Danio rerio: one gene and its partner. The protein of the gene in region 1 purifies or fractionates together with the protein of each later gene. This does not show direct contact. Links are inferred from orthologs where the notes say so. Each region holds a gene or a part of one and is shown in the gene's direction. Other genes may lie near its edges.

Region 1 (3,893 bases):
TAGGAAGCTATACAATATTATATTTGTGCATATACATTAGATTAGTCAGTACTCAAGCCAAATCTGGAGCTTATCTAACAAAATAACTTGCAATAACGGTCCAAAAACTAGTTCACCCAAATTTATGTTACACAAAATTATTAAATACAAAAAAAAGCAAAAAAAAAATAAATTGTTAAAATTTAGTTGAAATTTTGTAGGTTTTTAGGTTGGTTTTTTTTTTGCAATATTTAGCTTGAATTTAATTTTATTATCTTTCAAGTACTAAATATGTTTGGTGACTAAAATATTAATTTAATAAATAAATCTGTTTAATAAATCTGCTTTGTTTAAATGCAACAAAATACATTGCCTACATTCACTGAGAAATTGATAAAAATATGAATTTTCAAAATGGGGTGTACTCAATTATGCTGAGCACTGTAATCATATAACTACAAAATCAAGGTCTTTAATGAACAGTTAATGCAAGTAAAAATAATGCTATATGTAATGTACTAATTATGAAGTTATATCAATCATTCATTCATTCATTTTCTATAGGCTTAGTTTCTATTTCAGAACTCGCCACAGCTGGATAAACAATTAGTTGAGGGAAATTATGTTATTGTTAAGGCTTTTAAATGAAAAATTATTAATTTACAGTACATGTTTTACAGTTTACATTCAGAGCAAATATTTATATTCAGTATAAATTTAATACAGCAAATGCTTTTTTAAATTTTGATTACCTTTGGTTTTACATTCATCAGCCATTTTATATGTGTACCACAAGAACATAACAAAAAAGTAAATTATGAAATTACATATTAGTAACAACAATAATAATGCTTTATTTGAATAAATATAATTGCATGGAATTAAGTTGCTTATGTTAGTAATTAACACGTGATCAAATATGACTCTGGATTTTAATAAAGTGAAACTGAAACTAACATTTGCTAAAAAAAGAAAATTAATAAACCCTGTAGATGCATTTTCATTCAATAATTTTCCTTCAGTTTAGTCCTTATTAATCAGAGTACAACACAGTGGAATGAACCACCACATTTTTTCATAGATAATTAAAGTTAACTAACACAAGTAACTAATATTAACAAATGAAACCTCAAATGAATTTGGAAAATTGGGGAAAATTAGAATCATGATAAAAATAATTGTATGTTTTGCTTTCTTGATTTTTGGAATATAATAATATTCAAATTGTGAAAAGAACTGATCAAATGACTTCTATTATGTTTTACAGGAAAATAAAACTGACTGGAAGGCACTGTGGGAAAAATTCACCAAGGAAATTGAAGTTCTCCAACTGTAAGTCCGGACTTTGCATACCTAGCCACATTCAAATAAGTTCATTTATCATTTTGTCATTTATTTATTTACGTTTGTTTGTCATCCTAGCAACCAGCATCCTAACATCTTAGAGTTATGGGGGAGCTTTTCAGATTCGGATCGCTTCTGTTTGGTTTACCCGTTCCTTCAAAATGGATCATTATTCCACAGACTTCATGAGGTCAGTCATCCACAAGCAAACTGTCTTTTCTAACTGTGATCTATTATTTCTCTTACTTTTGGTTTTATTACAGCACGTTGACAAGCCTCTATCTTGGCAAGAACGGCTGAATATTATCAAAGGCACGGCGAAGGCAGTCCATCATCTACACACTTCACAACCGTGCACTGTTATATGTGGAAACATCACAAGGTGCCGTTAAAAGCCAAAAATACTTTTGTAGGTGGCAGTAAAGAGCATGCATTGAGTTTTGTGTTCCTTTGGCAGTTCAAACATTCTCCTGGATGAAAACATGCAGCCTAAATTGTGCGATTTTGGATTAGCTCGCCTGCGGCCACACTCTGTTGACCAGAGCTGCACTATTGTCATGAATACTGCTCTACATAGTAATCTAGGCTATCTTCCAGAGGAGTACATTCGAGATGGAAAGCTGTCAGTCAAACTTGATGTTTACAGTCTTGGTGTGGTGAGAAGCTGGAGCGTCTAAGAAAATGTTTAATTTGTATAACTAAGATATTTACTTTTTTATTTTATTGTTGATGGTTTAATTGATTTATATCAATTCCAACTTAATATCAATATGAAATATCACTATAAATATAACAGTTTTTTTTGCTTGTAGGTTATATTGGAAACATGTACAGGGCAAAAGGTTAAACAAGAGTCCTCAAAAAACTTGTTTTTGGTAAGTTTGATAAGAATCCACTTTATGATCTACATATATTACTTATGAGTGGTTTTATGATAGGTGTTTAACTTAATTTGATCATAAAGCAATAATGCCAGGGTATCCGCGGGGTCTTAAAAAGTTTTAAAATGTCTTAAATAAAATTTTACAAGCCTTAATCTGTGATATTTTTATCCAAGGTTATCATACCCTCAGAAACATATACTGGCCCATGCCTAAAAGTCACCCAATCAGGATGACACCTATCCAACCACTAATATTCTATCTCGAAAAAAGTTTACCAATATGGATTAATTATCTTCCTTACAGGAACATTTGTTTTTAATGTTTTTAACTGGGCCATTAGAAAAGTTTAGTCTAAAAGTCTGCAATTAGTCTGCAATTAGTCTGCAATTTCATTCATAATGGTCTTAAAAAGGTCTTTAAAATTCTTGACTTGATGAAACCTGTAGAATCCTTGAATTTGCACCCTTTGTAAAGCTGTTTAAAACAATAATTATTGTATAAGAGTGCTATACAAATCAACTTGAATTGTATACTACAGGGTTCCCACGCTTCTTGAAACTACTTGAATTTCATACCTATGAATTCAAGGACTGGAAAGTGCTTAAAAATGAACATAGGTCGTTGAAAGTGCTTGAATTGAAAGTTTTTGGTGTTTAGATTTTACTGTGCTGCTTTTAAAAACTAAGAAATTCCTAATTTAAAAAATCTTAAATTTAATATGAGAACTATGACAATAAATGCACATTTTAGTAATATTTCAGACATCGCATTTAAATATTACCGGTATTGAATTTAACTAAATGTTTTAATGTTCTTTGAACATGATTCTACATTTATGAAAATGATGCATTCAAAACATCATTACTGTGGTATTTTGACGTAAATATTAAGTGTAAGTAAAATGTTAAGTCCAATAAGGACTTTCATGGTGCTACTGTATATATGCTGGGGCTGTGAATTGCAAAGATCATAATTTAAAATTATTAGAGATTTTGGAAAGTCATCAAAAAAATGTGGTGTCCATGAGAGAGTGAGAACCTTAACACTATCATTCCAAAATGTTTTGTAAGTAAAACAAATTGACTAATGTCATTGGATTTGTTTAGAGAGATGTACTGCATTCAGAGGTAGAAGAAAAAGGCTGCGTGGATGCCTGTCTGCGGTTTTTAGATCTTAAATTTGAGCACTGGCCTCCTGCTGTGGCTCTTTGTCTGCTGCGACTCGGACTTGAGTGCACAGGCAGCAAAATGCGAGTCAGGCCAGACATGGAAATGGTTCGTAAATGTTCTTTACACACACAACATAAACACTTATTGATGAGACACACTGAAGCATAAGAAAATGTTTTTATACACCTGTCAGTTTTGAGATTTTTGCTTTTCATTAAATGTTTTCTGTACGTCTAATATGAAGAAAACGCACTTTATCAATTTGTGTCTGTACGCTTCAGTTATGATATATATTTCTGAAGGCTAAATGAGTTTCTCTCCTTAACTAAGCCATAAATGCAGCATTTCTATAAAACAAACTCTACTGTTTTATTTATATCTATGTACTGAATATTTTACAGAGGGATATATTTATACTACAGGTGGGCGTAGATGATGTTTTTTTTATCTAGATTAAACTTACAATTAATTAGATTAATGTGGAAGTTTTTTTTTCTTTCCATTTGGTGTGCGTTAT
Region 2 (4,043 bases), on another chromosome or scaffold:
ATTGGTGGTGTTTTAATCAAAGTAATTCCAGCTTTATGGATGTGACATTTGCAGTAAAATCTCAAAACATAAATTGATAGAGGAAGTATATGTTAACCTTATATTGAAACATCTCTTTATGTTGTATGAGTTGTGGGAGCTGAAAAATATCAATCTGTAAAAAAAATGTTAAATTTTAAAATAGGAAAATGGAAACATGCATCATGGATATGACAAAAATGGTGCAAGTTTACAGTATACAACATACTATGTAGAAATTCTGTGAATTAAACTGCACAACCCAAAAGAAACAATGCTAATAAAAATGATAAGAGTTGTCTCACTATAGAACAAACATGATTGATTTTATTTGATTTTGCATTTATGATGAAAAAGCTTTGTTATGGATGTGACATCTCTCTGTTATGGATATGACAGATGTAAAATTGCCACTTGTGTGACTTTGGTAAATCAAATATAATAGTTTGAAAACACTGATAGATACATTAACCAGAAACAGTTTCGCTATTTTGGCGAAAACGTAATTTTTTTCATGGCAAGGTTGACATTTGCATGGAATTGCTCATTACCTGTTTATTTTAGTATGATCATTACATATTAAAGTGTTTAAAAAAGGTTGCTGATAAAATAGCATATTGCAAGTTAGTTATATCTTTAAAAAAAATGTTAGCACTCAACAACATTGTAAATTTTTCCATTATTGTGCAGCCATACCGGCAACAAATGTGAAATATTATAGCATATCATTTAACAAACCTTTTCAGTTACTACCAATTCGATGTCATTTTGCTCACATGGCTAGAATATGAATCATTTATTCATTCATTCATTCATTTCCTTCGGCTTAGTCCATTTATTCATCAGGGGTTGCCACAGTGGAATGAAACGCCAACTTCTCTACCATATGTTCTACACAGCGGATGCCCTTCCAGCCATAACCCAGCACTGGGAAACACCCATACACTCTCACATTCACACTCGCACACTATGGCCAATTTAGTTTATTTATTTATGCAGGTCTTTTAACTGTGAGGGAAACTGGAGCACCCAGAGGAAACCCACGCGAACATGGGGAGAACATGCAAACTCCACTCCGAAATGCCAACTGATCCAGCCAGAACTCGAACCAGTGACCTTCTTGCTGTGAGGCGACAGTGCTACCACTGAGCCACCATGACACCCGTTATATTAATCAGATGATGTCCTTTCACAGCTGTCTTGCTGCCAGTCAATCGTTGTTTTGTTGATCATGATTTTGAGGATAAATAATAAATGAAGTCCTTCACAACAAGAACGCAGTAATCTCAGATCAGTTCATCCAGATATTTTAATCTGAACTTGTTTGAAGAACTAAATTAGCTATTCAGTTTTGGATAGAATTCCCATTCAATTTCATAACACTCTCATTTTGCTTGCCAATTAAAGTATTTTATGTCCTTGCAGCTTCACAAATCATATCAGATCAGACTGAACTACGCCTTTTGGAGCAAAGCCCTCGACGGACGAGTAACCTCATGCACAATTGGGGTTGTCGCAATGGGACAGTTGGAGCACTGCTGAAGATTCTTGAGGGACTCCAGTGGTTCAGAGCTCGTGATATCATTCTCAAAGCACAACTATGTAGGTTTTTTTTCTTCTTCCTTTTTTTGATTTTTTTACCACATCTATGTGCCAAGCAGGTTATCAGTTGGGTTTTGTGGTTATCACGTTACTCGCTTTATAATCTAAAGTTTCACATTCCATGGTTCAAGAAAGAACTATGCTGTCAGTCAGATGTGAAATTTCTCAGTTGTGCTTATATTTCCCACGTTCTTATTTGGTTTACTTGTTTACTGCTTGTGATCCGTCAATGTATATTTTAAAACCTGTTTGTTGTTAACTTTCATCAAAATGAATTGACTTGTTCTGCCTGTAAATCTGAACTCAAATCTGTAGAAAGGCATTTCAGCAATCAATACTGATACCTATATTATGAAAATAAATATACTAACAGTATATGTATTTATACACTGGCTTGTCACATCAATTAAAAAAATGTAGATTTTTAAATCCATATTCACTGATTAAAAAAAAATTAAACAAATAACACATTCATTGACTTTATATGTTGGAGCATAAATTATTCTACAAACTTGACTTACTGGCATCATTTGCTAGATATTCATGTTATTGGGTTATCTGTCTATCATGAATGATTGTAGATAATTTTTGTCTTAAAATATATGTATAAAAAATGTATAATATAATATATATATATATAATGTAATGTAAATATATATCTCTGATCTTACAAAAAATATGAAACAATAAAACTTAATATATTTATTTATTAATAATATTTAATACTTTTATATTTATTTACTTATCTCATGATTTATTGTTCAATAATAAATCATACATGATAAATAATATTTATATAGTATATATTTATATAGTATGTAGTATATAGTATTTATATAGTAATAAAATACTTATTAATATTAATGTTAAAAACAAATCTTGTATTTTATGGAAAACATGATTAAAAAAAAAAAAAAAAAATATATATATATATATATATATATATATATATATATATATATATATATATATATATATATATATATATATATATATATATATATTACAACGTTAGTTTGAAATAAAAAATGTTGGCATAGAAAATATGCTTTTATTGTACTTGTGTTATGATTTGTACAAGCACTGCCTGTCAATAGTTTCAGATAATAAATCCATCAATGCTCTTTTTTTTATGCATGTGCACAGGTAGACAATTTCCACAGAATCATAAAGAGCAACAACCCAGTACAGTCACATTTATCAAAGAGCATCTCCCTGTCCCCGGTAACATGTTATTCTTACTACAGTCCTTATGTTAACATAAAACATGACTTTGATTATTACCTAACAGTTGCTCACTTATCATAACATCTGTGCTAAAAGTGGCTCTTTTATGTTTCCAGAGATCAGGCCTTTACCCAGGCCTAGCCCTCCACCACCTGACTCCGTGAGCTCAACAATCTCAAAAACAACTGAAGAGGTATTTTGTTTGATTAAGATAAAGAATGAAGGTGAAGGGCACAAAACTGTTAACTAATTCTCACCATACATCCTGAGTTGAATGATTATAGTAAGAATAGCTTCATAAAATGTTGTTTAAATGTTCAAACAAGGTGTAATTTAATTAAATATGTGCTAATTTGCATAGATTTCTAGCTTAAAAGTCTGAACATTGAATGAAGTCAAGTTCAGAATTCTTGTGTATATTTTTTTGTTCTATACACTACCTGATAAAAGTCTTGTCATCGATCCCAGTTGTAAGTGCAACAAATAATAACTTGACTTCTAGTTTATCATTTGGAAAAGTGGCAGAAGGTAGATTTTTTTTTTCTATAAATCATCTGTTGAACTGAATTCCAGTCATCACAAATACTGCAGAAGACCTATTGGAACCCACATGGACCCAAGATTCTCACAGAAATCAGTCAAGTTTGGTGAAGGAAAAATCATAGTTTGGGGTTACATTCAGTATGGAGGTGTGCGTGAGTTCTGTATAATGGATGGCAACATTTCAAGACATTTGTGCTGCCCATTACATTACAAACCACAGGAAAGGGCAAATTCTTCAACAGGATAGCGCTCCTTCTCATACTTCAGCCTCCACATCAAAGTTCCTGAAAGCAAAGGTCAAGGTGCTCAAGTATTGGCCAGCCCAGTCACCAGACATGAACATTATTGAGCATGTCTGGGGTTAGATGAAGGAGGCGGCACTGAAGATGAATCCAAAGATTCTTGATGAACTCTGGGAGTCCTGCAAGAACGCTTTCTTTGTCATTCCAGATAACTTAAGTAATATGTTATTAGAGTCATTGCAGAGATGTATGGATGCAGTCTTCTAAGCTCATGGGAGTCAGACACAATATTAATTTGCCACTGCACCATGACTTTATATTTTACAACATTATTTCTGTTAAGTGACAAGACTTTTGTCTAAGCAAAGTCAGACTTTACTGTCCTAATTAAATAATTCAAAACCAAGGCGT

What was found. Proteins that work in one complex are often made in the same cells at the same time.
Region 2: the proteins of irak3 (region 1) and irak1 purify together in Homo sapiens (co-immunoprecipitation; 3 studies listed by BioGRID and IntAct, with this or other methods). This does not show direct contact. The link is inferred for Danio rerio from reciprocal best matches to the Homo sapiens genes IRAK3 and IRAK1.

What each region holds. Positions count from the first base shown.
Region 1 is NC_133179.1:13,359,195-13,363,087, reverse strand, and holds part of irak3 (interleukin-1 receptor-associated kinase 3), read left to right. Parts: intron 1-1,246; coding exon 1,247-1,311; intron 1,312-1,401; coding exon 1,402-1,513; intron 1,514-1,586; coding exon 1,587-1,705; intron 1,706-1,780; coding exon 1,781-1,979; intron 1,980-2,135; coding exon 2,136-2,198; intron 2,199-3,313; coding exon 3,314-3,481; intron 3,482-3,893. UniProt on the Homo sapiens protein: Putative inactive protein kinase which regulates signaling downstream of immune receptors including IL1R and Toll-like receptors.
Region 2 is NC_133183.1:9,128,751-9,132,793, reverse strand, and holds part of irak1 (interleukin-1 receptor-associated kinase 1), read left to right. Parts: intron 1-1,443; coding exon 1,444-1,624; intron 1,625-2,766; coding exon of another isoform or gene 2,767-2,770; coding exon 2,771-2,844; intron 2,845-2,963; coding exon 2,964-3,040; intron 3,041-4,043.